2 linked regions of the Arabidopsis thaliana genome follow. The protein of the gene in region 2 interacts with the protein of the main gene of each other region in a pairwise test. Each region holds a gene or a part of one and is shown on either strand. Other genes may lie near its edges. The genes, in order: AT4G25400 and GAMMA-H2AX.

What was found.
Region 1: the proteins of GAMMA-H2AX (region 2) and AT4G25400 interact in a two-hybrid assay, tested with the Arabidopsis thaliana proteins (one large-scale study listed by BioGRID).

The regions. Positions count from the first base shown.
Region 1 is NC_003075.7:12,975,504-12,989,206, reverse strand, and holds AT4G25400 (basic helix-loop-helix (bHLH) DNA-binding superfamily protein), read right to left. Parts: upstream 8,171-13,703; 5' UTR 7,982-8,170; coding exon 7,811-7,981; intron 7,620-7,810; coding exon 7,227-7,619; 3' UTR 6,971-7,226; downstream 1-6,970. Other genes in the region: AT4G25410 (basic helix-loop-helix (bHLH) DNA-binding superfamily protein), read right to left, coding at 2,524-2,604, 2,689-3,048, 3,211-3,435; AT4G25390 (Protein kinase superfamily protein), read right to left, coding at 9,761-11,716; SAP10 (stress-associated protein 10), read left to right, coding at 12,879-13,271.
Region 2 is NC_003070.9:20,400,046-20,417,009, forward strand, and holds GAMMA-H2AX (gamma histone variant H2AX), read right to left. Parts: upstream 15,243-16,964; 5' UTR 15,162-15,242; coding exon 14,955-15,161; intron 14,784-14,954; coding exon 14,562-14,783; 3' UTR 14,438-14,561; downstream 1-14,437. Other genes in the region: AT1G54620 (Plant invertase/pectin methylesterase inhibitor superfamily protein), read right to left, coding at 392-970; ACP3 (acyl carrier protein 3), read right to left, coding at 1,597-1,725, 1,990-2,112, 2,212-2,313, 2,818-2,874; AT1G54640 (F-box family protein-like protein), read right to left, coding at 3,847-4,135, 4,314-4,762; AT1G54650 (Methyltransferase family protein), read right to left, coding at 5,768-5,872, 5,958-6,100, 6,176-6,278, 6,549-6,598, 6,683-6,876, 6,966-7,075, 7,447-7,701; AT1G54680 (translation initiation factor 3 subunit I), read left to right, coding at 13,009-13,200, 13,274-13,366, 13,446-13,517, 13,681-13,824, 13,899-13,970, 14,058-14,153, 14,237-14,437; AT1G54700 (uncharacterized protein), read left to right, coding at 15,858-16,037. UniProt on the Arabidopsis thaliana protein: Variant histone H2A which replaces conventional H2A in a subset of nucleosomes. Nucleosomes wrap and compact DNA into chromatin, limiting DNA accessibility to the cellular machineries which require DNA as a template.

The sequences.
Region 1 (13,703 bases), on a different chromosome or scaffold from region 2:
CAAAACTGGATAAATCCATTTCTGAATCTCTGGGACATGACACCAACTGATCGAGAAGTACATGATTGTGAACGTGTGCATGAGGATATGTTTGGCTACAAATCACTGTCATATAATAGTGGGCTTAAATTAAACAGTAAACACCACAGGACATGCACACAAATAAAATAAGTTTTGGTCTATACTTATACGTAAGAAGTAGGAAAGATGTACACATATTAATGTCTTGCTCTCTAATTATTGCAGTGGAATTTTTATTTATTTTTGGTTTAATTACTAGATCCGTGTACAAACATTATCGACGAAATTAGCCAACTGAAGAAAATATAAAGGTTTCCTTTTTATGGCTTCTTATTGTTATTCTCTTTTTGTGAAATGTTGTTAGAAAAAGACAAAAAAAGAAATAAAAAGAAATAACGTAATCCCCTTTTTGAAATTAATGTACTGAACATTTCTTAATGCCATCAAAACACTTCGAGTCATGTAGTTTATATTTTCAACTGATATGAGATGGAGTTAATGTTTCTATTTTCAATATTGTTGTTATTTATTAGTTTGGTTGTTAACTAGTTGGAAATAATATGGGTTTAAATATTATTAATTCTCATTAATATATCGTCTGGGATTTTCTTTATCGGAACACTATCCGATTTGAAGATCATGAATTTGTTGGACGGCATCTCAAGTTTTGATTTAAAAAAACATTTTTTAACAACCACACATTTAAATTAAAAAATAAGACTCCTAGTTGATAATTAATTAAATTACCAATAATGATATAAGATATCAAACGAATATTAGTGAGATCTTAACCACTCATCATGCGTATCTCTTAAAACATTTGAACTACTGTCAACTTCGCTTAAGTTCGTGACATGTATTAATTAAAGTGACTATTTAGATCTAAAGTAATGAGATTTTATTAAATAATATGTGGTCGATCTGTTCATATGCTTATGGGTACGTATGAAAAGAAAAGAAACCAAGATTCTGGGGATATGTATAATACTGTGTCGTATCGTGAACTACAAAAGAAAGTGAGATTTTGCAAATTCAAGATTTAAAAATAGAAAGGTGGTTCTCTGCATTGAATCTTAGGCTTTTATCTATGGCAATTTTGTAATATGCTTCTTATTTCCGAAAAAAATATCGTAATTAAATATCATAATCTTGTATAAATAATTTGTCTGACTTCACATTTGCTATGTCATTTACTCATTTGATGATGTGAGGCCTTGTGCTTATGAATTAAATAGTTATTTAAAATTTCAAAATAGTGATGGCATTTGTATGTATGTTTATTTGTGTTAGGGTTATCAACTCATGCACGTACATTCAAACGATCTTTTATTGTGTGGTTACTGGTTAGTATTACCATCTGTTAGTTATTTGGAACTTCTATTTTACCACTTTCGAATCGCCCAAAGGATTGGTTGTATCGAGGTTAGTGCTACTACTTCATATATAGTCTCTCATCTTTGATATATATCGTAGAGATAACAGTTATGTTACTTCTCAATTTTCGCAGTTTTATGTGTGAACAATTCACATAAAATATCGAAATCTAATTCACCAATGTGGTACTGATAGCGTAGAGAATAGTAGGCTAGAAACAACCTAGCAGATTCTGACTATTATAGAGCCCAAAAGATGGTTCTCACCTACCCTTGCTTCATACTTATCTGGTTAGAACTAGGCGATATATATATATTATGCTATTGTATTGGCCTTTATTTTACTATGCCCTTCCGGATTTTCCTTCTAATACAGGTCTAAATGATTCATGGATATGTATTACAGAAAAACTTATTTTCCATACGAGAAAACCCAAGAAAACCTAACAATGGAGTGATACAAAATGTTATAATGAAAGGGAAACAAAAAAATGGCTTGCCCGTGAGAAAAAAAAAATCTCTACTGAAAACATCAGACCCTTGGTCTTTACGGCGGCGAATCATGGTGAAGTTATGATCTACCCCATGAAGTCACTTGAACTTGTTTAAACCAAAGCTACACCTCAATCCATGAATGAACTTTAACACCTATGCACCTTGCTCTCATAACGAAATTTCAAGAAGACTTTGATTTTTTCTGCATCAAGTATACGGTGAGATTAGTTCATTAGAACATCAACCATAGTTATAATGTTGTAAAACACATGAACAAAAATACACCATATCGAACATTGCTAATATTAGTCTTCCATTGATATATGAACTAGAACCATGTGAAATTCTAGTGTTTATAATTATATATGACTTTCACATTAGTTCTTAACTTCTAAGTATATATAAGTTCATGAACAAGAAAACAATAATTGGAGCAACAAACATATGATATCTACAAAAAATACTGTTTTATATCCACTAACATGCAAGGCTTCAATACCACATCTAAAAAGGACAATAATTTGGAAATGAGTTTCTATTTAGCTAAGCTCATATAACGAATGAAGAGCTCGGGTAAAAGAGATCATACGATGAGGAAGTTCTTTAGGACTACGAATGGTATGTTTCTGCATGATTAGTACCCCGTCGAAAGTATCAAATCCTCAACTAGCTTCTGCTGCAACCATAATAAGTCTATGCATCCGAAACTATTAACCTGTATTGAATATAGTTAAATGTAATGAAACCCTAGATTAACTTCCATTGACATGGCATGTTGACATGTTGTAACCAACCATACCTCTACTTGAATAGTGTGCATGAGCCTATCATTGACTCTTGTAGTGAAGGAGCTCATGACTTCAAGCCCTTTCTCCTGAATTGTCTCGAGCACTTTTGATAGTGGCAAAGCTTCGGGGCCTGAGGAGTTGCTGCTCACTACCACTTCTAAACCGCTCACGTGTGGTTGCACCATCACAGTCGCCGGCTCCGATTTGCCTACATCGGATCCAGTTTTTCCTGGATCCGGATTCGATTTATATCCTTGGCCGGTTTCTCTACTTAACTCGTCTCTTCTTGCACTAAGTTCTTTAATCCGTGCTTCCGTGTCCTTAATGAAATTTACCGCTCCATTTACATGATCCGACACAGCTCTTTTTCCCTATAAATAAAGATTAAATACAAAACTAAATTAAATACAAAAAACGACATATTCACAACCCTAGCAGCCAAATCTCACCAAATCTTGGTTTCTTCGAACAATTGATATAACGAAAAAGTAAATAAATTTGAGAGAAAAGAGTGAGTAATTAAGAATATGAACCTTGATGTATTTAAGAGGTAAGTGAGTACGAAGAGTAGCAAAGAGTGTAGCCATTTCTTGTCTTCTTTGGCGTTCGATGTCGCGGTGGAGAAGCTTCTTCTTCTTCTTATTGTCATCTGTTTCATGGGCCGTACCGGAGCCGCCGCTGCCGCCACTCTCGCCGGCTGAGCTAAACGGTCTCTGTCTCTGGTAACCTTTTGGATTAAGATTCTTATAAGGATCCATAGTTTGACACTTTGAGCTTTACCAGTGTCAGATCTCCAAAGGATTTTGTGGTTCTGTCTTGTGATAATTTAATTTCCTTTATTGTTTACTTGTTGAATGATGGTGCCTTAAAGAACCAGATGGTTCTCTATGTCTCCTTAGGTGAGAGGGAGGACCATTATTTAAATATTAAATAGATACACAGTAGGAGGACCAAATAATGCAGGTTACGGAATTACTCTTTTTTTTTTTTTAAATAAAATTGAAATAGTTATCAGTTTTTTTTTATTTCATTTATGGGATGAGCCTCGGGCTTGATTTGTAACAAACTAGTAGAATACAACTTATAGTCAATATATATACATAACAAAATAAAATCCTCTACAGTTTATTTAATTAAGAGAATTAAAACACATAATTATAAATTTTTGAAATTAATGTCAACTTAATAATTTATACCCTCCAAACAGCTTTTGTCATACCATCATCCAACACAAAATTTCCTTTATGTGAAATACCATTGCGAATCCATCTCTTTCCATGAAATACAGAATTAGTATCTAAAACGCAAACTGTTGGAAAAAAAAAAAAACCATAATGCACATTTTCTCTAAAACAAAATTATATTCTCATACAACTAGGAGGAACTGGAGAATATAACTATTTGACAAATGTCGACGTGAAAGTGCAACCATGTCTTAAGATTCGGATACATGAAAACAAAACCTCAAATCTCAACCGTTGATGATGTTGCGATGGTCGCATGTGGGCTCCGATCCTTTCTTTTTATTTGCACCTGCTCACACTGCAACTAGTCTTTTCACATGTTTATTAAACGTCCATATCCATTGCGTATCAGATATATAATGCTAAAGATATACTGTTCTTAAGAAGATACTATTTCAATATAATATGCTTTGAATATAAAAACCATGACATCCCTCCACAGTTTCCATTATTAAAAAATAATCCTTTTGGTAAAGGTTATCCTTTCAAGGCAAAGCAAATCCTTCTTCTCTGTCACGAATCCCTTGTTTTTTATATATATGTATATACGCATATTAAGAGCCACTATACTATAAAAGATAATCTCGTTGGATGTTTGACCAAAGTCTTTTCTTTAGGGATGTGTGTTGTATGCTGATATGCTCAATATACGCCATAAGCCATATTATGCCTGATATTAGCAACTTTTATAAACCAGATAAATTTGTAAAAAGAGAAAAATTTCATTCACTTATACTATACATTACGTTAAGAAAATGGATAGAGTTTTAAAGTTATAAGAGCTGGTATATAACAGTTTATATACAGTAATATTATTACATGCGTACAACCGCAATAATGTTTGCATATTATAGTCATGATAAAACAAGTTAACTATTTATTATGTAAATTATTTTTAAGACACGTTTCTGCTATAGTTTTATTACATGAGATGCATTTTTCCTATATCCCAAAAAGTACTATCTGATAGTTTTAATCTTATAAAATTAAAATTAGAAGCACGTTGTTATATTTACGTGTATGACCAAATGTCGAATCATGTCAACTCGATGATTGTCGGAAAATATGGATTATGCAAAGTTAAATTATTCCCTATCAGGCGATCGTACACACATGCCTTGTAGGAGTCACGACTAAACTAAAGACATCTCTTTAGACTTGTATATCTGACGGTTGCGAATAGAAGCCGCTATTTCTACAGTAACAACCAATTATTTCTGCAATAAAAAGTTTTAACCAATGATTTTTTTTATTTTTTTTATTTAAGTTCGTTCAAACGAATTAAAATATGTGTTTGGGGCGAAGTATCCTAATGATGTGGTAAATTATACAATTATATATTGCTCTTTTAAATAATTGTATTGTATTTCAATAGTTATTCGTAATAGATCGTTACAACAACATATTTACAATATATCTCCAGCTAAGTTCTCTATATTGACGCTATATTATTTATTAGGGTCATCAAAATTTATGATGAACTTTAGTTCTAAATAGATATGATTTCAAAATTTAAGAAAAGAAAAAAACAAATTGTGAGTTTTAAACAGAATCACCAAATATAAACGACTTTGGCCATGTGTTAAAAGATCACATTTTCTAGACCCTACTTGGCTAATTAATTCCGCCCAAAACCCCAAAGCTGGTCACTGTAGAAAACTAAACCAAAGTTTTCTCACTCTCTCTTTTTTTTTCAACAACCAAGTTTTCTCACTCATTTTAGTTGCTGAAATTGTTTACCAAAATTTAAGTCTAAGAGAAAAGTCAACAGTTCCAGAGTTCAAATATTTAAATCGATCATAGATATGTAGCGGTTTTCAACTAAGCGGCATATAATATACATTCCCTATGTTTTACTTTTTGCATCGACTTTATAGTCATTAGCTAATTTGTGATTACAGATCTGGAGTGCGTATCACACAACCCTAATTAACCATTTTCAAGATTCAAATTTGATAATTTTGTAACAGTGCGTACACAACAAAGTAAGTTTGTAACAGTTCTTTTTGTCAACCAAAAGTACTTTCTAACAGAAACATTACATATTATTTTTAAAAAATATCCGTCGCTGATAAATTCGCAAATTGTTACTTTTAGAAAAACGAATTTCACATGTTTAGATTTCTCTGAAAAATGGTTTTTCCTTTGCCTCATGTTTCTTGTCTTTTGCATATTGCAAATCAATTTCCGACTCAAATTTTCAGTATTATATAATCTCAAAATCTGTTAATCATTTTTTTTTCTTTTTAACCATTTTGTGTATACCCATCAATCGATGAGTTTTTAGAAAGTTAATATTATTTCATTTTTCTTTTCGTGTATTCGTCCGGAAACAATTTTAGTTTGAAGGCTTATACTATCTATCAGAATTTTTGTTCAAAATACTATTCTATCATCTATTTGATGCTACTCACACCAACAATAGTAAATTAATTATACCATTAATTCTATGTGTACGAATTAAATTCCACCATTCTCTTAATTATATCCTAACTCGACAGATTACGTACATCTTCAGATAAGAATGTTATATGACTTATATATAGGAGCAGAGACGTCTAGAAATAAGAAGGCCTCATGCGGTAATCCTCAAAATAATAGTCATTGTCCCTAATGAACAAAAGATAGAGTAAACTAATATATTTTCTTGAAAGATAATTTGTTTTCATAAGATATTTAATCAAATTTTCAAAATGAAGATTTTTTTCTGTGAATAAACAAGATAGTCAAAACATCAATGATAAAGAAAAAGTTTAGATGGACCATAGTTTATATAATATGTAAGAGATGGTTGTGATATTAAAGCTAGCTAGCATTAGTTTCTTACGCACAAATTCTTTAAAGTAGCTAGATAAATACACAGTAAAAGTACTAAGAACCATATATATACATCGTTTTGGTTTGAGAAGTTAAAAGGAATCTACTGAAAAAAAACGTTTGATTATTTGAATTACTTCATCAGGGTAAGTGTATCCTTAAGGTCTGCTAAGTCGATCAAAGCCAGATCGTTGACCTGCAACATAAGGCAAATCAACTTCACATATTAACTCAACATAAGGCAAATCAACTTCACATATTAACTCAAACATATATATTCATTACTCTGATACAATAAGCCATTCCAAAAAGCTATGAAGAAGATGTATGCTATATTCTATATTCCATTCCAAATTAGGACATAAACGCGTTTGTAAGCCGACAAGATCGAAAACATTAACAAAGTTAGAAATATATGTTATGATTAAGTATTTCTCTATATTCTTAGTAAAGTTAGTTAGAAATATATGTTATGATTAAGTATTTCTCTATATTCTTAGTAAAGTTAGTAATGCTTCGATTGCTGTAAAGTTAGTAAGCTCGAGATATTGTACCTCAGCCTGTAGAGTATGAATGAGTCTATCATTTACACTGGAACAGATGTAGCCAAGAACATAGAGACCGTGTTCACGAAGCACTTGCAGAACGCTTGAGAATGGCGTTTGGAGAATGCTCAACACTATCTCTATGCCGACCAAACACGGACGAATCACGACATGATTCGAAATCTCATTCCATTCTTGTTCATTACTACTCCTAAAGCTTCGTCCAGACAATAACACGAGGTCATCTCTCTTGGAATTTATGTCTTTGATATTCCTTTGCAAATAGTCTATGTAATTCACTGCCCCTTTCACCTGATCTGACGTTGAACGTTTTCCCTACAAAACCAAATCAAACGTAATTAAGGTGTAGAGGTCAACTTGAGATATTGTGATGATAGAGTGTTAGAGTTCTAGTGAATCTTTTTAACAAACTAAGCGACAAAGCATACTTGTGGACTTTTTCCTTAACAAAAAAAAAAGAAGAAGAAGAGGAAGAAATTAAAAGCAAGAGTAATTAGGGTTTTGACCTGGATGAACTCTAAAGGGAGAAGAGAGCGGAGAGACGCGTAGAGAGAAGCCATTTCTTGTCTCCTTCGTTTCTCAATTTCTTTATGTACTAACTTCTCCATGTTTTCTTCGTTATTACAAACTCTCGGCGTTTTACTACGCCTTCTTTTCTTCTCCTGAAAATTATTCATCTAGAAGTCGTTATACGTTAATTATTTTGAACAACGATTCTTCTTGTAATTATGATTATAATAATGATGATGATGATGAGACAGAAGGATCTGATCTTGTGCTCTGGGATTTGCTCTAGTCAGGGATTTGTTGTAAAGTTGAATAATATGGGAGTCGGAAAAAAAAAAGATATGGGAGTCGGAAAAAAGATAGTAAAAGGGTTTGGTTATAATATTAAAAACTAAGAGAAAAAAATACTAAGTTATTGGTAGACGTATCGGAAAAAGATGGAGAGAGAGGTTTGTTAGGGTAAGCAATGACGTCTTTCTGCTTCATCATTAATTTCTTCTCTTTTTAATAGGTTCCCTTCAACATTCCATATCTTAATATTTATCATTTTTAAAGTATTCTTTAGAGATCGTACAATTTATATGTTTATTTTCTTATTGTATACACATACTATATGATATATCAATTGTACGACGATCTACTATATATCCTAGATATCTCTGACATAGGTACCATATAATTATTTTTATATATACTATAGACTGCAAGGCCATATGCTGGATCGTATTCCTAAAAATCATTGAATAGCACTTTAAATTATGAGAAAATATGATTTATTTTATGTTATAAAATATATAGGAAATAATGTACTATAGTTTATAAGAATTAGTTACTGCTCTTTTTTTGTCAACTGGTATTGTATTAAGAGACGATTGTTTGATACAACACATACCCACCAAAGAGGTGAAAGAGCCAGACATATGAAAATGAAACAACATCCTCAACCTTTACTCAAGCCATACTACCATCAAAACTCAAATTTAATCAGAACACAAAGCCCTTTCCTCAGCAAATACACCATCGATCGAGCCAAGTAGGATGACTAACCGCCACATACGATTGTAACATGCACTCGTATAAGCAATGATATAAGTCATTGTTTCTAGTCGAAAGCAAATGATTTTTGTTGTTGTTATTATTTAAAATATTGAAAAACACTTAAAATGAAAAACAAACCAACATTCTATAACGCCTTGCATTTATTCATTAAAAACTGTTGCATTTTCAATTTGTTTTCTAAACATTACAACAACTTTTTGAAAAAATGCAGAATACTATGTTTTATGAAATGTTATAAGGGATTTCTTAATCCGAAAATAATTAAGTAGTAGTAAATATTTTAAACTGTTTATGTATGATTTTTTTTTTAATAATTGAGTTTCATCTGAATCTGATACATTTAAAAATAAAAAGCATGCATGTTCCAAATATCTAGTATTTTTAAAAAACTGGGCCAAATTATGGATAGACCATACTCTATATAAGGGCCAAATAATAATAAGAAGAAAAATTCAATAAATCTTGGTGATTTTAAGTAGAAACGAATAAGAAAAATCGAAGATGGCCCATGTCCATATATAAAGAACACAAACTGCTGACTCCTAACGTGACCCAATTTGGTATCTTCATTTCATTTAACTCGATTGGAAGTGGTTTGTTAACTGATTAGGCCCATAGGATTTGTGTGACCTTTAAATGACTTTTGGAGGTGGAAAAAGTTTTAGCCTTTTCTTTCTGCTAATAATCCAATCCCGAGCAACTCCGATTTGAAGAAGTGTTGTATGACATATTGACATCGAAGTATAAACGTGTAAAAAAAAAATCAATGTCAATAATGCGTGTGAAACTATAGAAAGAGAAATTGGAAAGTATAGTGAAATTGAATCAAAGTTCCTAAAACTAGCGGTGTAACACTTGAATAATAATAATCAAAATGATTCCTAAATTAGTCAACGGCGCTGCTTCCTCGTTGTCTTTAATGGTGGCGATGGTGAGAACTCACTAGGCAACTCTGGTAGATTCACTTCTCCTTTAAGCATTCCCAAGACCTCTTTCATTGACGGTCGTGAAATCGGTAATCTTTGCAGACACAACAAAGCCACCTTTATGCACAACACTGCTTGTTCTTGGTCTAAGTTTTGCAACTTTTGATCCACAAGATCAACAAGTTTTCCTCTTCTCGCCAACTTCCTCGCCCAAGACATGAGGTTTGCCCGTTGTATCTCACTCGCGGAGCCCGTCATCTCCAACGGGCGCCTCCCGGAAATCAGAACTAACAACAGAACACCGTAGCTATAGACATCACATTTCTCTGACACGTTGTTGTCCAAGTTACAGTACTCAGGAGCTGCATAGCACACAGTCCCTCTCATGCTCGGCGTGCTACTAATTCCGCAGCTCTTAGCTATCTCACCGCTCACCGAGTCATGGCTATTTCCCCTTGCTCTCAACCATCGTTCACCACTTAACCCATCTAACCACCAATCTATGCTGCTACCACTACCACTACCACGCCGCCATTGACTCACACTACTACTCCCATCATCACTACAAAACTCGGCTTCTAAAGTCATCTTCTTCTTCTTCTTCCTTTTCTTAGCGAGTTCTCTACGATACTCATCTTTCCACCACTCTCTAACCATCCTCCGCTTCTTCTTCTTCTTATTCTCATCCTCTTCCTCCAATGACAACCACCAATCTAGTCTCTTGCTAGTCTTCTTCTCAAGTTTCTTACTTGACGAAGAAGACAAAGCTGCCGCCTCAATCCAATCACTTCTGCTTGGTCTCTCCTTCTTTACCTCTGAACCAATCCATTGCATTACATACTCTTTCACTCTCCCTCTTTCAACATTGCTCTCCTGCTTCCACCACCAATCTTTGCTCTCACTCTCTTTCCCCTTCTTCATCACCACAACACTACCACCATCCTCATCCGTTTTCTCTCCCATTTCCGGAGAAACAGAGACAACCGTCGTCGCCTCAGGAGAAGCACTCACAGACCCAGGAACCTTAGCAACACTCTCCGGAGACTGATCAACCAACCCAAAGTTAAAATCTTCATAACCAGTCACAGTAGTTACCACACTCTCTACTTCTTCAACCATAGATCCATCACCATCACGCTCCGGAGCTACACTAATCTCCACTTGCTCTGCTTTCAACCTAGCCAAACCAAAATCAGCGATTTTGGCAGAGAAGAGACTATCTAATAGAACATTGCTAGGCTTAATATCACCATGAATCACAGGTGGTTCAAGACTATGAAGATGCTTAATCCCATCGGCAATGTTAACGGCAACCAAAAACCTCCGATTCCAATCCATAAGCTCAGGGCATCTCCGGTGAAGCAAGGCGTCTTGGAGATTACCATTGTCCATAAGCTTGTAAACAAGAAGCAAACGTCGTCGTTTTCGATCATGAGAGAAACCAATAACAGGGACAACGTGAGGCGAGTCAAGCTTGGCGGCGAAGAACAACTCGTTCTGAAACTCACCTTCTCCTTGAAGAGATCCTGAATCCATTACTTTAACAGCTACATTCTCGCCGCCGGAGATAGTTCCACGAAACACGACGCCAAATCCGCCCTGACCTAGTCTATTCGCCTGCGAGAAAGAACCGGTGGCGCGACGGAGAGACGAATATGAAAACTCACGTGGCGACGGTCTCCGAGGCGAAGAGGAAGCGTTTTCCGCCGGAGGTGATGAACGTTTCCGGCTGAATTTACAGAAACAGACGGAGAGAGTGATGAAAAGAGAGAAACCGGCGCCGGCTCCAGCCACCACGAACGGTGGAAAGATTCGCGTTGTCTTATTCTGATGTCCTGACGGCGCTGCTGGGACTAAAGAGGAAACGATCGGAGCCGGAGCAAGAACCGGAACCGGTGCCGAGATTGATCGTGACGGCATAGAGATTTAGTAAACCGAAGCTGAACCATACACAGAGGAGATTTTCAAAGACAAATTGTTGCTTTTTGTGTTTGTTTCAGTTTTTAGACTAAAATCGGAAAAGAGAGAAAACGTTTTGAGCTGTTGCGGAAATGGAAAATAAATTTCTATACATTTAATTGATCATTGATTAAATCATTACATCATGGTTTATAACGTGTTAAGGTTGCGAATTTTGATTGGTTAAACCGAATGAATACTAATCCAAAGTCCAAACACACAGACAAATCCAAAACCTGTTATTCTTTCTATATCAAACAAGAACCATAGAAAGAATAACTGACCAATATTTTATTTATTTATCGTTTTTTGAATGAGAAAACTCAAATTCAAATTCAGACGAAGCCAAAACATATACCCGGATAATGAAACCGGAACCGGGTTAGACCCACGTGAAGATTTAAATGCTAGACTGTTGTTGCGTGGCTTTTTGATAGACAATAAATAATTTAATTAGTAACGCGTTTAGGTGTAATTTGATAATGAAACTAAACAAGGTATTCCAAATTCACGTGCGGTGGTGGGGAGGCCATCAAAGATCACCATGTGGAATTGTCTAATTTGGTATTTTACTTGAAACTAATTAATTACTCCTTAAGATAGTGAAAACGGCACGCAACTCTTTTCTGTATTTAGAAAACGAACCGACGTTTTAGAAACTACCAGGAAGCTGCTGTTGTCTAAATTATCATCAAGTTGGATTAGTTATTTATTTGGTTTGTCTTTTTTTTCTTACATTAGTCAACGTTTTTCTTTATTGGATTTATGACTGTTCGAAGAGGATTAAACACGTCTTCTCAGTTTCCTTATTATGAAATATCTCTCAGCGTTTCTATTGTAACTTTTCCTTTCTTAGTTATATGAGGAAAGGAAAATCAATAACTTGCAATAAGAATCGTTAGCAAACACTTATCGAACGTAGATGACTATTACAAAAGAGGAAACACTTACCGAATTGTATTAAAAAAGGGAAACTTAATTGCACTACACAATTCCAGAAGAACTAAGAACAATAGACATCCTCTATATATTTAGATTTTAGAGTCATTGATAGAGCTCACACAAAATATTGAATTATATTGACTCTCATATAACAACTATCGCAAGAAGTAGAAGAAAGAAGATGGTGAACGAAACAGAAGCATTACCATGCGAGGGAGGCTGTGGACTCTACGGCACCCGAGTGAACAACAATCTATGCTCTCTCTGCTACAAAAAGAGTGTTCTTCAACACTCGCCCGCTTTAAGATTCGAACCCGAGACCGAGCAATCACAGTGTTGCCCTCCTACGAATAGTCCCGCCGTTGAAGAAGAACCGGTCAAAAAAAGGAGATGTGGGATATGTAAGAGGAAGGTAGGAATGTTGGGATTCAAGTGTAGATGTGGACACATGTTTTGCGGGTCACATCGTTATCCGGAGGAGCATTCTTGTCCCTTTGATTACAAACAATCTGGACGGCTCGCCTTGGCCACACAGTTGCCTTTGATCAGAGCTGACAAGTTGCAGAGGTTTTAGTGATATGTGTCGTAGATGTTTAGATTCCTTGGCTAAGATTTTGATGTTGTTAAATTCTTTGTACCAGTAATAATATAAGTTCTTTTAGCTAAACAAAACACCCTGAACTGAAGAGAGATTCAAAACAAGCAAGCCATCTTTCCATTTCAATGGTCAATTAAATTAACCAAAAATTCACAAGCTAGAAACAAAACTGAACTTTGTCAAAACTTTATTGTCACGACTCACTGATCAAACCCTAAACAAAACGTATCGGCTCTGTATCACACTGCAAAAACTTGTGAACATGAAATCCATAATATCACAACAAATCATTAAAACGCTTGTTTATACATATGCTTGGATTAACTACAAATTGGATTCGTGATTTCAAATGCGTTTTATGTATATTATAATCTTATGAGCTTAGACGAATAAGGTCATCGGTTTGTT
Region 2 (16,964 bases):
ACTTATATGAAACTTTTTGTATTTTTTTAATGTTTCTTAGATAATAATTTATAAACTGTAGGTATTTTAGATTGACTTATTTGATCTATATACTTTTGTAATATATAGCAAAAATATTTGCTTTTATCAAAAAAGAAAAGGAAAAAATGCAAATGATATGAACTGGATATTCTATGAGTAGTTAATCCATGGATATAATCTTTTAATTTAAACCGTAATTATCATGTTGATTATGAGAACTAAACAAAACATTCTCAACACATGCACACACATATATATTTTTAGTAAATACTAAATATCATTTTGATTAACAGATCTAAGCTTGTCTTTCATAACTTTTTTCAATTAAAATAAAACTCATGCAACCTCCGGTTCCTTTTCAGGCGCTAATCTAACCATGTCGATTCATATTAAAACTGTAAGGAATATTGATCACGTCGAAAAGAACATCGTTTTCTTTCTTCATCGGAGATATTTGTTTATTGTCGCCGTTGAATCCCATTTCGCAAATGCTTGGTGCTTCTTTTGCTTTCTGCAAATGAACCGAAACTTTAAACAGATCTCTCACTTTAATGTACTTCAAAGCTGAGGTTAACGCGTCATAGCCTTCAGAATAAAGCTTAAGGCACTTTTGCAACAACTTCTTACTCAGCCTGCCCTTATATTTTCTCTCGTTGAAAATCTTCTCCACAATTCTTTTCACGTTTGTTAGGTTTGATAAAGCGTTATTCGTTCCTACCAATGTTAAATCATTGCTATTCCTTGCTTTCTGACTTTCCGCATTCTCTTCGAGAGATGCAATGCAAAACTTATAGAAATATCGTTCCGCGTACTTTGAACTTTGATTGCAATATTTCTGAACCAGAGAGTTTTCCACTCTGTTGGCCGTCAAACCATTGAAAAGAAGAACAAACACAACGAGGTAAATCAAGAACTTCATTGTTTCTTTTTTTCTTTGGAAGCAAAACATTAGAGGTAATAGATTGAATAGTTATAGTAACATGTGATCCTATTTATAAGCAACACAGAAGTCTTCTAACATGAGAGTGTTATTCAAACAAATGCTTTTTTTAGATGACTCATGTCATGCATTACCACTCCGCTTACTTCGTTGCCTTCTTTTGTGGTCAATCTTCATTGCCTAAAAAGAATCATTACTCTAGACATTTCGATGATATCTCTAATTTCGTTTGATTCATAGCAAAAATATTTTTTTTAAACTTGCATAGCAAAAGAAGTGAGGTAAGAAAAAAAATGTTTATGCCCCTTCCCCTGAATTTTGGAATCTTCGGACAACAAAACTTCTAGATTATAAAGAAACAAAAAAATGTCAAGCACTCAAATCTTTCATTAGATCATCAACCATATTATATTATTTAAAACTTATGTTTGAATACCAGAAAGTACTAATATTTTAAAGGTGAAAGTAAAATGTTTCAGACGAAAGTAAATATTAAAATACAAGCCTTGTAATAATTATCCGAAAATAGCATAAAATCTCAACGGACACAATTGCTCTCTAGCTAACCAAACAATAAGAAGATAGTGGTTTGGGTTTTGGTTTTTTTCGTTTTTGCTAATGTAGTAAAGGATTTTCTACTTGGCCTTTTCCAACAAGAGCTCCTCAATGAGTGCAGCTGCTTGCTCAACTGTGGCGATAGACTGTGCTTTCTCCTCCGCCATTTCAATCCCAAACTCTTCCTCTAATCCCATAACTATCTCCACCTGGAACCCCGACACACGAAGCATGAGTACGTCCATAACAATATAACAAGAATCATGAGTATGTGTATCTCAGTAACATGTTTAGAGATGTGTGTATAAGGAGAAGCAGCGATCCTTCACAAGACTTGCAATCTAAACATTCGACAATATGAGCTTGAAAGCAGGATACAAGTTTAAAGAGGCATTGATTATGCATCAATAAGTCCAATGAACAATCCCATTTCAAAAGTTGAATCCAATTATTAGACATGAGAAAGTAGTTACCGTATCAAGGGAATCAGCACCAAGTGCAGCAAATTTGGTGGCAGCGGTAATTTCGTCAGCCTCTTTGAGTGAGAGTTGCTTTCTGACAACTGCACACACCTTGTCCACTGTCTCAGGTTTTGCCTGTTTATCAACAATCAACAATGGTGAATGATGAATTGGCTCGAGAGATCAAAAGTAAAATAGAAACAACATCATATGAGAGAAGAGACAAGGTCTTACAGCGCAGTAAACAGTCAAGCGGGTAGGAAGCTGGCGAAGATTAAAAGAAAGATTGCTTCTGCTTCCATAGCTAAAGCTTTTAACTTGTTTAGCCCCAATCACCTGCCATCATATTCGAATATAACTTTCCATCAGTACAAAACTAAACTCCAAATGCAAAGCAATATATTTGCACTGAAACAAACCAAAAGAAGGAAACAAAAGCAACTAAAATCTATGTAACCCGCATGCTCTTACCAAGAGTTCGAATCTATTCAAATTCAGATATAAAACAAATCCAATTCGAAGAGGAATAGGATAATTTTTCCGGTGATTCGACCGAGTTAAGTAAAATAGGTTCAACAGAGCCTAAAATTCCAGAAAACGAAAACTAACTTACCTCAATGCAAAAAAATTACAGGACAAAAAATGAATTACAGAGCAATTTCAACAGATCAATATAGAGATGAGAAAACGATTCTGCGAATTAGATCTACAGTTGAAGAAGAAGAAGAACAACTAGGTCGAGATGAATCAGATCAGATCTATAGCAAAATGGGAGAAATCACGACAAAAATTCAGTAAGAAAAAGATGAGAGATTCGAGGGAAGAAGAGAAAAGAGAGACCAGTTGACGAGGACGAGCTTGGAGAGAAGTAGAAGCAGAAGTAGCAATGGAAGCCATAGAAGAATGAATCGTAGAGAGATCGGAGTGAGATCGGAGGAGGCGGAGAAGACAAAGAGATGTGAGACACAGTGAAGAATCCAAGTGGGAGACTTATTTTTAATTTTATAGTATTTTAACCTAAACAAAAAAAAAAAAAAAACTTTTCTGAGATTCCAATGAGAGAATTCAGACAGACAAGTCAGGTGAGGTGGGTGATTTGGCAGATGCAGGTAGAGAAATAACAAATTCGGAAAAAAAATCCAAACATATTGTTTTTTTTCTTAAAGCGAAATAAAACAATTAGTCAATTACGATAGTTTACTGGAATTATAATAAACAACCTTCTTAACTTTTTTTTTATGAAAAACACACGATAAATCATAAACGTAAGAAAAATTAACATGTTATTTCTATACCTTAAAACAAATTAATGCATCTTTCATATTTTTTACCAAATTTTTACAACTATTTTGTAGGGAATTTTCTACTAATTTCCTACCAAATATGAATAGTAAAAATTTGATAGTAAATTTCTTTTACCAATTTTTTTTGTAATGATAGGATTAATATGTTCCAAACAAATGCTAGATGTTAAGCTAACGGTGATTCACCGCTATAAATGCTAAGCGAACGGTGATCCATCGCCTATTGCCTAAAACATCTAACCGAGATATAGAGGATTTTTGGCTTAAGCGTTTAAATCAAAAAATTTAAAATATCTATTAGAATCTGTTATTTCTGTTTTCATGTGTCTGATTATGCACAATAGTGGAATGCTTTTTTATTGTTCGATATATCATTTATTTATACGAAACAACACAAATTAACTTTTTTATATATAGGATCATATTTATAGTCTTTACTCAGTAATTAATTGTTAAAATACATAAACTTATACAGTTTATTTTTTCAAATTGAATGAAATAACCATAAGATATTTGTTGCATACTTAATTAGAACCAATCTATAATCTCCTTAATCTTGACATAACTAGAAACGATTGTCATATATACTCATACATCTAAACCCTTTCAAAGAACCACCAATTGGAACTTCAGTGAACTCCTCTCGCCTCTCGTTATACACTATAACCTTGTCTTCTCTTCTTCCATTACCTTTCACCACTAGGAAGAGTTCTTCGTTTCTTGCTATGCACGCAAAACCAACATCAAAATTTCCGTTTCTATCTAAGCACGCTAAACCAACATTTAAAATGTTGAACGCTTTAACATTTTCCTTCCACGGGTCGATATTCCAATGCATGATCTCCTTGCCTTTTCTATGCGGACGCCATAGACAAATGTCATTATTTAGACTTGGGTAATGATCGATAACACATAGCTCTCCTCTTAAAACCCCTAACCATGAACTGTATTTCGACTCCGTGTGCATAGGAGATAATAGCTCTTGGTACTCTTCCTTGGCGAAATCGAAACAGAGGATGGTGTTTTTCCTACGGGGGTTTTTGGTGTGAGACCTGTCTGCTATCCACAACCGTACCGGTCCGGTCTATGAATTTGCGATGAAGAGAAGTATCTGGTACACTTTCTCTCCAACAGCTTTCTTTGAAAGCATAGATATAGGTTTTGAAACCAATTTTCGTTACAATCTTGTAATCATTAGAAATCCGGTCATAACCAAATCCCAATAGATTTGTGGTTTGGCCCGGTATAACCATTGGTATTCTCTTGAATTCCTCCGAACCTGGTTTCCAAATCGCTAGGTCATTGTTTTCTTTGAGGGTCAGACACATCATTCCACGACAATGAAGAATACAGACAGGTTCGGTTTCGGCCGGTAATGTAAAGGGCAAGTCTAGCTTCAACAACGTGGTTTCGTTGAGGTTTAGACGGTATAAACCATCTTTGTGTAATGAAATGAGATGTGATGATTGTTGATTCGACATAGGAAAATTGATCAAAACAGATATATTTTGGTGAAAATCAAGAAAAAAAAAGGATATTGATTGCTTATTTTATATAGAGCTTATGACTATGAACAACAATTCATTTTATAGATTGCTTATTTATTAATATTGAGAGCGTGCTTACATGTTTAACTAATTGTTTAGTTATTAGTTATTACTTCTAAATTGTTTATAGATTTGGAAATCTGTATATATCAAATAAAATTTATTATACTGCCACATAAGCAAATACAATCTTTAAAATCAGCCTCATCATTAAAAGAACAATTTTTTTTGTTGAACATATCATCATTAAAATAACTATATAATTGATTTCTTACTTTTTTCTTCAGTCAATATAATTATTTACTTGATTTGCTTCATTTGTTTGTTTATTGAAATTATCAATAATATCTTAGTTTTACCTAAAGTTTGGAAATAGATTTTTGAGTTTAAAAAATATACTTTTTATGATTTTTCTCTTATCAAATATCTCAATTTCTTTGATATAGTTTTACAAATTTGATTCGTGACCAGGGATGGGTGAATTTGAAGGTATGGTTCGGATTTGTTCATCTAAACTTTAAAGATTATAATTAACTTACTCTTAGCTCAAAAGTCACACGTTTGTCAATAACAGAGTGTGCTCAAGGACGTCTATCATCAAGCACATTAGTTCAACATTAGCGTATCTTGAGAACAAAAATTCCAATATCTTCAAACCAACATGAAGTTCATGAACATTGTGAATTGCTTGAAGAAGAGAGATCATGAAACTCAAAGATTGTTTCGCAAGAAAAATCTTACACTAAAAAAAACGAATTTAGTTTTGATCTGCAATGATTTGACGACTAGAGTCTTATGAATATGGTTTTGAATATATGAACAAGTGAGGTTACAATTAGAGAACAAAGAACGTGAACTTAGTATGAGAGGATCAGTGTAAAGATAATCCAAACACTAGACTCTGCAATCTTCTTCACAGATAGAGCATTGCGTTTCAACTTAATTAGAGAAGGGCTTTTGGAACTTCCCATGAACCCAAACTCGGTACATGTCCTTACCCTTTCTCCGGTTTACTGCTTTGACACAACAATATTCAAGCTCAACCTATACACGAGAATCAAAATATCATAAGATTTGTTATTCATTCAATCACAACAAAGAATAGAAAAACTGAAAAAAGAAAGTTTACCTCAATGAATCCAGCATCAGTAAATAGTTTCCTGGCAGTGTCGAGACAAAAGAAATAGGAAAGGGTTCCATCAGACCGCACATATTCCCTAAATCCTACACGTTTCTCTGGCTCAAACCGTAGCATAGTCATGTCATATAATCCTGTCAAGGTGTTTAGCCTATTAGTTTCTCTTTATTTGTAAACATATGTGATACAGCTCTTAATAGTGACCTTACCATAATCTCTAAATAAGAGCAGACCACCAGGTTTCAGCACAGCAAAGCATTCCTTGATAGCTCTCGGCATTCTTTCTTTAGGCACTGCCGACAATGTAAATATCTGACATAACATAAAAAGTTGGAATAACAACCGTTTCGATTAGAAATGTTCACATAGCAGAGCATATAACACATCTGTAAAAAGCCTAATAGCTAAGAATCAGATCATAGAAGATTAGAAACATAAATTTCAGTTTCACATCTATCTTATAACCACATTATAAAAACCATGAGATCAACTACTCTAGTTCCACTGCAGAATATCTGACATTACTGTTTCCTACAGTGAGCATTGTTATTCCTCTTAACTAAATGAGCGATGTTCACATACCAGAGTGACAAAATCCACCCCACCGATGCAATGTTTGCTCTCACTCCCTCCTATTAATGAAGATATACAAGATTAGCTAGGACGTGTATGAGAGAACAATGTGTATGGATAAATTGCTACAGAGAGACCAAAACCTGAGTGGTTAAGCATAAACTTGTCTCGACAACGATCACATGCCACCCAATCTGGAAACTCAGAAGTCGAAAAGTCACAACAAAAAGAATGAAAGTTATCAACCGAAGAAATAGCGCGATCAATGTTCTCTTTAGTCCTAACAAGAGCGTCACTGCTACAATCACAAGCATACACAGTAATGTTCTTGCTTCCACTACACAAAAACAAAGATAAAACACATAAAGGTTAACTCCAAAAAGCTAAATCGGAAGAATAATACGGCGAAGATCGAAAGAATTATACCGTAAAATCGGAAGCACGGTACTGCCATTACCACAACCAATTTCCAAAAGTTTTGAGTTCTCTCCACAAGAAACTAATTCAGGAAATTCCTTCAACAGATACCTTCTTTCCTACACGAAAACCAGCCAGCCAAGACGAAGAAATGTAGGACCCCGAAATCCAGATTTAAAAACACTCAATTTCTCATTCAAAATAACTTCAATTTTTACATCTAATAAGGCTCATTACGAAGGAATCCAAAGACTCCATGATCCGGTCATTCCGGTGATGAACTTCACCGGAAAACCGGAAAGTTGGCCGGAGCCACTTGTTTAAAATGTTCCAACAATAACATCATTCTTACCCAAATCCTAAGATTAATCAATCTCTCTACATCTCAAAAAATTCAGAAGCAAATTTTTACTACTAATTCAAACTTTTCTTCGATTGTAAATGATAAGAGCTGATTACAAGATATGGAGTAGTGATGTGTGTGTAGTACCTTGAAGAATTTTCCGGAGGAGTGACGGGAGTGAAAATCTTGCCATGGCTGCGAATCTGGTAAATATTTGGAGAGATTTTGGTGGTGGTGGTGGAGATGGTGGGAGAGAGAAGGATCGTTCTCGACGATGTTCTTGAGAAATTCCCATTCGAAATCTTTGGAATGATACTCTCCTGCTTCTTCTCTTTTCTCCATTGTTTGTTCAATGCCTGCAAGTATTTTCTCTTTTGAGAAGTACGGACCGGGAAAAACCATACTAAACCGAATATTTTTTAGAAAACCAGTATATACGGTTTGATTGAACGATTTATTAGGGTTTTGGCTTTTGGGTGTTCAATTCTGATTCGGTTTCGTTTGATATGGTTTTTCAATTTTGGTTTTTCATTTTTCCGGTTCATGTATATATGGTTTGGTTTCTTCGGATCGATTTTAGTCGTTTGATATAGATTAAAATCTTCATTAATTGCACATTTATATAATGTTACTTATAATGAAAAAAATTAAATAAAACATGAATTAAGTAAAATAAATGAAAATTTAAGTTCGTATTGTACCGCATCACAAAATTAACATCTCCAAATAACAAAAAGAGATACCCTAAGGAGTGAAGTCAAATTGTTTAAGCGCTGGATGTTTTCAAGTTGAATTCTAGGTGGTCTAATATGATATACCCAATAAATTCAAACTATAGAAATCAAACCATGCTTATTATTGAAAATAAAACTAACACATATTTATTCAACATGTACACATTAGAAACACAGCTATACATATATTAATCTTCGTCATATTGAAGATTAGAAACACACACAAAAATTAAAAAAACGCACAGTGTGATATTAGAAAACGGCTAATATCCATCCACACAACATAAAACGGAGAAACTAAAAAACAACTTGCACTGTCGTATAGTTCTGCTCAAATAGATATTCTGTTAAGGAATAAAGAAACCACGTGATGTTTCATCAACTCAGGATGTGTAAAAATGTCAGTGTCTTTGTACAAAACCTTGACGACCCTCGAGAGGTTTAGGAATCGCATGACGATAGGGAAAGCAAAAGAGTGATCTCTCGTCATCAGTTCTTGATTAAGACTCTTCCATGAATCCAATGCCATGATTTTGATCTCTTCTTCGGCTTTTTCCCATGAAATACCATATTGCTTCATGTAACAATCAATGGATGTTCCTACGTGCTTTCTCTTATGTTCAAACTGCATTAGATAGATCTCAGATTTTAAAATTATCTTTACACCAACGTGGTGACAAAAATTGTATTTGTATGTAGAGTGTCAACTACAGCTTAAGTTCTTAGGTCTGATATTATAATTCGAATTCTACAAGAAATTGGATCTCAATCTCTCTTGGAATGTCCAACGTCAAATATCATGTTCTTTTTCTAATGTAGTAATGTGTGTCATTTTCTTTTGTAACATGTTGCTTTCTCATAGTACATGTTATATACTACGATCACATGCTATTCCTTCCGAAAGCATGGAGACAAAATTTTACACATGACATTGTTTTTTTCTTTCAGTATGACATGTTTTTTTTTAAATGACATTGATTTCTTTCTCATTCTTTCGGATATCTCTCTTTCACTGACAAAACTCCTGTCTTAATTTTTTTCTCCTTTCAGATTTTGTGTTATTATTATTTGTTTCATGTTTTTCCCCAAACTACATATGCTACTGAATTTTTGTCTTTTGTTTGTGGAAATCTATAAATTTTCTCCTATCTTTCCTAAATTTTCTGATTCATGGCTACTCTGGTCAAAATCTAGTTAATAATATAATCTTTTAGAAGCAATATCTTTGTCATTTAGGATCCGATAGGTCAAACTAGACTGGTTATTAACTTATTGGCATCACTACAATAATGTGAGTTAATTACCTCGCAACTAGCAATGTCACCACAGAGACGGCCTATTAGTGCAGAAGTCACAAGAAGGGGTGGGAAAGTGCTTAACCATTCAAACACATCAAGGGTGCCTTCATCCACCATCCCTAGAAAGGATCCTGTTAACAGAGCTAAGTAGCTCGATGAATAAACTCCGTTCTCTTTGTACTCGTCAAATGTTGCCACAAAGTCTTCACTCAACCATTTTGCCTCTTGAAGATAGGCTTTAGCAGTTACAATCATCTGATTTATTAACATATAACCAACAAATTTTTCATTTAGATTCAACACACATGAACATAGACTTAGTACTTAATTACTAATTAGTTTTGTGCTTTTGAAGTAGTTGTGTATATAAGTATTTAGTAATACCGATTTTTTAGCGAAAAGGCCGCATCCTGACCTTCCTTCCCTCTCCATATCCTCCTCAAGTTTTCCGTAGAAATCTAACACCACATGATGAAGATACCTCATGCTCTCCGGGAGCCCTTCTATGCCGCTAGGATTCCACATAATCAATGAAATGGTTCGAGTTCCTCAATCGTGCCAAATGCATCGTACGTATCATCAACAAGAGTCAATAAGATAACAACAATGGCCAATCTAATCCTTGCTTGAGAATATCGGGGCTCAAAGTATGCTCCAACAGCCCACAAGTAGCTTTCGACAGTCCTATTCCTTGCATATGGTACTTTCAAGTCGAGCTCTAGATTTGAGTACCACCTACAAAAAAAGAAGAATCGACAATCATTATGGTAGTCTCTCCATATATAAGAGTTTTAAAATGTATATATAATCTATCTTGCTAGCTCATAATGGCACCTGAAGACTTGGCAAAGCTCTTTGCGGTGCAAAATTTGCAGAAGATTGAAATCTATCTTAGCAAATTCTAGCAAGGTTTGGTCGTGCAGATCTTCTTCTTCATAGTATGAGATATATTGTCGTGTCTCTATCCTTGATATACCCCTAGGGTATGCATGTTTGAGGGCATTTTTAATGCGGATGGACATAGGTGGACTAGATTGATCAGCCAGTCCTTCCAAATGAGACCTAGAGAAAGCAAGAGCTTCATCGAGAATGTCTTCACCATGGGTGCTCCAATGTGCAGCTTCATAAAGGCATAAAAGACCTCTTGCATCCTCAGCTAGGTGCTCCTTGAACTTTCCATCCTTATTCTTGAAGTTGTTAAACACATCTTACACATATAATTTTTTGTTAGTAATCAAGTTTAATAATTAACATTGACTTGGTAGATTTACTAATCATTATGCACAGAGAGTACAAAGTGAGTATACCTTGCGCTTCCACAGTATTAATATGATCGAATTAGGTGAAGTTGAAAAAGAAGAAAAAATACGCTCGCTATACTTATGTCAGTTTTCACATTAACCAAAATGTAATATAGTTCTTAGACCAAAAACAAAATACTACTAACAATTAGCAACATTCTCTTTCATGACTTTTTCTTAGTAATATCAATTCAAATTTTTTTTAACCCAAAAAATATGGAAACATAAATAAGAAACTTATTCATACTGATAAATTAATTAACATATTACGCTCGATAATTCTAACATTAGAGTGACTTACCGACACCAAGTTTATAGCCAAATTGTCTAAAAATTTGGAAGACGAGGGAGACGGTGTATAAATCGAACTCATTGCCTCTTATCATCTGCATAAAACCATGACACCAAACATCGTCTCTAACTGCGTGAAGATGTCTACTTCAAAGTGGTAGGAAACACCAAGGCGACAAAGAGCATCAATGAATTTGATGTTCTCTATCGGCTCTTCTTTTGAAGCCATTAACAATCCTCTTACGGTTTCCTTTAGTGAACTCAGCTTCTCTTCGTTTATCTCACTCTCCTATATACATCAAAATAATGGCACGAGAGAAGACATCATAATATAGAGTATATTCATAGTGTTTTGTGAACAAATTTGCCTAATTGTGACTTCAAGTCGTGTGGGTACGTACCGGATCCAAAACAGAAAAAGAGATCAAGGGATCTTCCCATATATTCACCGGAAAATCCGCTAATGGCCGATATATTTCTTCAGTCGTAAGCGCTGACAAAGTATTTATCAGCTCCTGCATGCTTAAGTTCTTTTTCTGAATAAAAGTGTATCTATAATCACACTTCAAGGTTTTCTAAAGCTTTGGTAAAACTGTGGCTGCACTTGATACATATAGAGGCCATATATAGGGAGATGAGCCTCCCTCTCTTCTTTTGGTGTTTCTTTTTTTAGTAACCTTTATCTTAATTTTGTTTATTTCTATGGTATTTTCTTTTAGGCGTGTAAAAATGAGTCATTGATTGGGACTCTTAGCCGACACGATAGATATGAACACATTGGCCATTTTACTTTTCTAGTACTCCCTCTGTTTTAATATATTTCTAGTTTAAAGGTGTTTTTTTTTGTTACAAAATAAATGTTGCTTTTATATTTTTTTATGCAAAAATTAAATATATTTAATAGTTTTAACTAATTATATTTAATAGTATATTTTCGAATTAATTTTATTTGATAATATTTTATAAAAAATAGATATATTAAAGAAGGTTTTTATGTTTTTTCTTTTAATTTGTATGAAAAATCTTTAAACTATAAATCAAATAAAATTGAGGGAATAATAGACAAGTGACAGATTTTCTTCGGTTACTAAAAGAGCAAAATCAATTCATTTTAATATTTTGACGAAAACAAAACAAAAAAAAAAATCATTTTAATATTTTATGTCCATCAGCCCGTTGAATTAGGCTTAAATGGCGGCGACACATTAAAGCTTCTTTAATTGCGCCACTAATATGATATGCGCCACTAATATGATATCCCCTACCTCATATCAATCATTGTAAGTGTCATTATAGTTTCTTACATATATTAACATAACAATTAAAAAGAAAGGGTTGCCTTCCATGCCAAGCCAGCACATGGACCGAATTGTTACTCGCTACAGTGAGGTGACTGGTGAGATGGGAACAAGTTGCCATGATGTATGCAGGTAAGTGAGGGATGAACGCCTGTCTGTGTTGCTGCATGCCTGCATGTGCTATTTGTTTGTTTCCAAGGTGGTGTGATCTGCCCCCGAGGAATGTCTAGGAGAAGGGTTTTCTGCTGTGATTGCTGAAGGCAAATAATAATCAAGAGTCGAGGAACAAAATTTGTTTCAAATAAAGTGGAAAGAAATTCATATTTGAAACTCCTTCGTTTTTTAAACAGTTCAACATTTGATGTAGATTTTAAAAATGTAAATTCTATTTAATAGGCTGTTCTTTTTTTTATATAATATGTGAAATCTATAAAAATTAAATAACTATTTGAAAAAAGCTTTTAAATTGATTATAATTTTGTAGTGGGTTAAAATCTAGAATGTCAATAAAAATATAATAAAAAAACCGAATTAAAAATCACTAATAAAAGCCTTCGAATTCATAATCCCAATGCTTTTTTAATCTTTTTCTTCTACACAATTTCCAGAAGATGATTACTAATTAGAACGAAATATAAAATACAAAATTTGTCCAAAAACTTGGAGATGCGGGGGATCGAACCCCGTGCCTCTCGCATGCAAAGCGAGCGCTCTACCATTTGAGCTACATCCCCAGTTGTTGAGTTACAATGCTTCACGTTTTATAAATTCGAATATCTAAACCAACATGAACTCTTCTTATCTCCAAGCGAGCCGCGTCATGGTGCTCGGATCTAAATCTCCGGTAGACCGCCGCCGGAAATCACTTGAAAGAGTGGATAAAGAACTCTTAAGAGGCAATTACGAAACTGCTCTCTCACTCGTCAAACAACTCAAGAGCAAACATGGCTGCTTATCTGCTTTTGGCTCTGCTAAATTGGTTTCTCTCGCATCTCTCTCTTAATGCTTATTTGCCAATAAATCATCTCTAATTCCTTTTTTTTTTTAATTAGCTTCCGAAGAAATTAGACATGAGTAGCAAAACTGATCTCAGGTCGTTGATTGATTCTGTCTCCAGAAGTATTGAATCTGTTTATGTCCAAGAGGTACTTTCAATTTTTGCAGTGTTTTACCAATAAACACATGTAATTTCATGTACCTTAATTTTTTTTATTTTTTTTGTAGGATTCAGTGAGAACATCCAAAGAGATGGAAATTAAAACTTCACCTGAAGAAGATTGGTTCTCTGTTGTTCAGGTGAAGATCTCTTAGTTGTCAAATAAAACTAGAACTTAACATTGTTGCAAAGTGAAATTTTATCACAAATGTTGTTTGGTAATGAGACCAAATCAAATAGAACTTTTTGTGGTGTACCTTTATGGGCAAATATATATAAATTGATTTTCTGCGACGTCTGCAGCATGAATCAGGGCATTTTCTTGTTGGTTACTTGCTTGGAGTTCTCCCAAGACACTATGAAATACCAACTTTGGAAGCTGTTAGGCAGAATGTGTCGAATGTGACCGGGAGAGTAGAATTTGTGGGGTTTGAATTCCTCAAACAAGTAAGTAGTTTGCTCAACAAATGGTCAGCTTTGTGTATGTTCCCAACCACAAGAGTTTTATGTTATCACCGCAGGTCGGTGCTGCAAACCAGCTTATGAAAGATGATGTCGACGGCCAAATGAACCAAGGCAATATCTCATCCAAGGTAAGATTTCCTCAAATGGACCTGTAATGAGTGTTTTTCTTTAGCTCAAGCTGTTTCTGTAATGATTGGTCAAATCTGTGAATGCAGACACTGAACAACTTTTCATGTGTGATACTTGGAGGAATGGTAACAGAACATATACTATTCGGATACTCAGAAGGGCTATACTCAGATATTGTCAAGGTAATACAAACTCAAGTCTCCTTCCACTCATAGTCATGAGACTATAATCTTCTAATGTATTTTTTGAGATTTGAGTGTTGCAGTTGAACGATGTTCTGCGGTGGCTCGGCTTCACAGAATCAGAAAAGGAGGCTCATATCAAATGGGCTGTTTCCAACACTGTCTCATTATTACATTCTCACAAAGAAGCAAGAGTCTCACTTGCAGAAACCATGGCTAAAGCCAAACCTATTAGCACTTGTATTGAAGCCATTGAATCCGCTATTTCAACACATCAAATTTAACTATTTCACTTCTTCAAACCGAATTCATTACTGGATTTGCAAACACAGTTTTTGAGTAACATGAAAATACCAAAACTATTGTGGAACAGAGAGCCATGTCTATGTTACAAGCTAAAAAATAAAATTAAAACTCTTGAGAAGCAGATCCGATATCGCCTTTGTTCTTTCCAACCTTTGATGGGAGAAGAGTCTGATGAATGTTGGGCAAAACTCCTCCATTAGCAATTGTTACACTTCCAAGAAGTTTACTAAGCTCTTCATCGTTCCTCACTGCAAGCTGAATGTGCCGTGGTACGATACGTGTCTTCTTGTTATCTCTTGCTGCATTTCCAGCTAGCTCCAATACCTAATGATTATATCAACATCATATAAGAGATCAGACTCTAGAAGACACCTTAACATCAAATCAAAATCAAAGATTCGGTAAACATCGAAAAATCTAGTGATATATCAATTACGAGTGATTCTCATCATAGAGACTAAAAGACTAAATACCAAACAGAAGATTGTTTGTTACCTCAGCGGCGAGGTATTCGAGAACGGCGGAGAGATAAACGGGAGCACCGGCACCAACACGTTCGGCGTATTTACCGGCTTTAAGGAATCTAGCGATTCTTCCAACGGGAAATTGAAGACCAGCTTTAGAAGATCGAGAGACGGACTTTGTAGCTTTTGGCTTTCCTCTGCCACCTTTAGTTGTTCCACTGCCGGCGCCGGAACTCATTTTTTGTTTATCGGGAAATTTGAAGAGGCGATTGTAAAATGTGATTAGAGATGGCTGAGGATTTTGTGAGTGGAGTGATTTAGGGTTTAGGTTGTGATTTCTGAAATATATAGCGTTGAGATAATGGATTTTGATTGGTTAGTTGTGAGTCACGCGGATTGCCAGCGTGGCACCATTGTAAGTTCTCGCGGGTTTTTTTTTCCGCCTCTTTTTAACAAGTCGGTGAATTTTTTAAGACGATTACTATTTGTGTTAAAATTCGGTTTAGAAAAAATGCACCAAAACTATAATTCGGTTCGGTTTGAAAAAAAATTAACATCCAATGTTGAACCGAAATTAGCTCAATTTGTTGGGTCATGAGATAAATTTCAATCAAATGGTAGTGAAGGATAAGCCCAATAACAAATAACACAAACAGCTTTAACATGGGCCAACTAAAAAGTGACTGTCAAGCATAATGGTGGTGATGATGATAGATTGATAGTGGTGTAGTATGACAGATTGATAGTTATTAAATTAATTAAGATAATTATATGTATATATTCTTTGTACATTTCTGCATGTTTTTATAAAGTCAAACTTAAAAAGTCAAAACACTTATGTCAAAAAAAAAAAAGAGTGAACAACTAAAACTCAAACTTTGACCACATGTTACAACTAATGAATTTATTGACAAATAATTATAGCATACATGGAATGGTTGCGACTTATGCAAGGTCGATATGTTTTGTATACAAGGGTGTTTATCTTCATCAAAATAATAACAGTACAAAGAAAATTATTCTATTCTTAGCTAGTATTGATGAAGGAGACAAGATAGGGTTTTGTTTACTCTCTACAGTCGATGAAGAATGCGATGATGCGAAAGTATCTTAAGATGAAGAAGATCATGACCGGTGTTGTAGTGACTGAGGTCAATCAGCATGCACTTGGTAACCAGTTTGTGAAGAAGAATGACGTCATTCTCGAGATTGATGGTATGACCGTAGAAGATGATGGCAAAGTTTTCTATGAAAACAGGTTGTGGATGCACTTAAATGGTTTCATTGCTTTGAACATGTGAATATTCGGTCCCTTAATCCTTTGATAGCCTCTACAAAATTTTGATCTTTATAGTCAAGGTAAACCAACAACGTTGATTGTGAAATTCAAGTGGTAAAACCGTTAAAAACAACATCGAGACCTTGATTTAGATTATAACCATTCATGGGAAACATTTTGGGTTTAAGTGACATGAAAAAAGATTGCTTTAGACTATGTGTTACTTTGTTATGATTTTTGGAAGTTTTAAATATCCACTAAAATCTATTAAATGAGAACTTATTTCACAATTAAATGATAATATTTAATATTAAGGTCTGATTAGAGAATGTGAAAGAGTTGAGTTGACGCGATTAAGAAAATTCGGTGTTGTATTCTTAACCCTGCAGAGAAACATGAGATTATAACACTGCAATGCAACAAAATATACAATGCCTTTACTCAATTAGTAAAAACCCAAACGAAATAAATCTTTATTTCTATTTTTTGCCTGCTTTTTTCCTTTTTTTCTCTTTTTTTTTTGATGAATGAATAGAGAGAGTTACACGAAAAAAAAAGATTACAAAGAAACAGTCCATGGAAATCGAGAGACTGTTGATAATGAACATTACATTTACAAGCATTTACAGAAACAGATGATAAAAGAAATTGATTTTAAATGTTATTTTTTCAGGGTATTAAAGATCATCAGTGAGTAAAAGTTGCAGCAAACGGGATTAGTATGTGACCCCTTCTCCATTAGAGCTTTCTTTGGCCATAGTT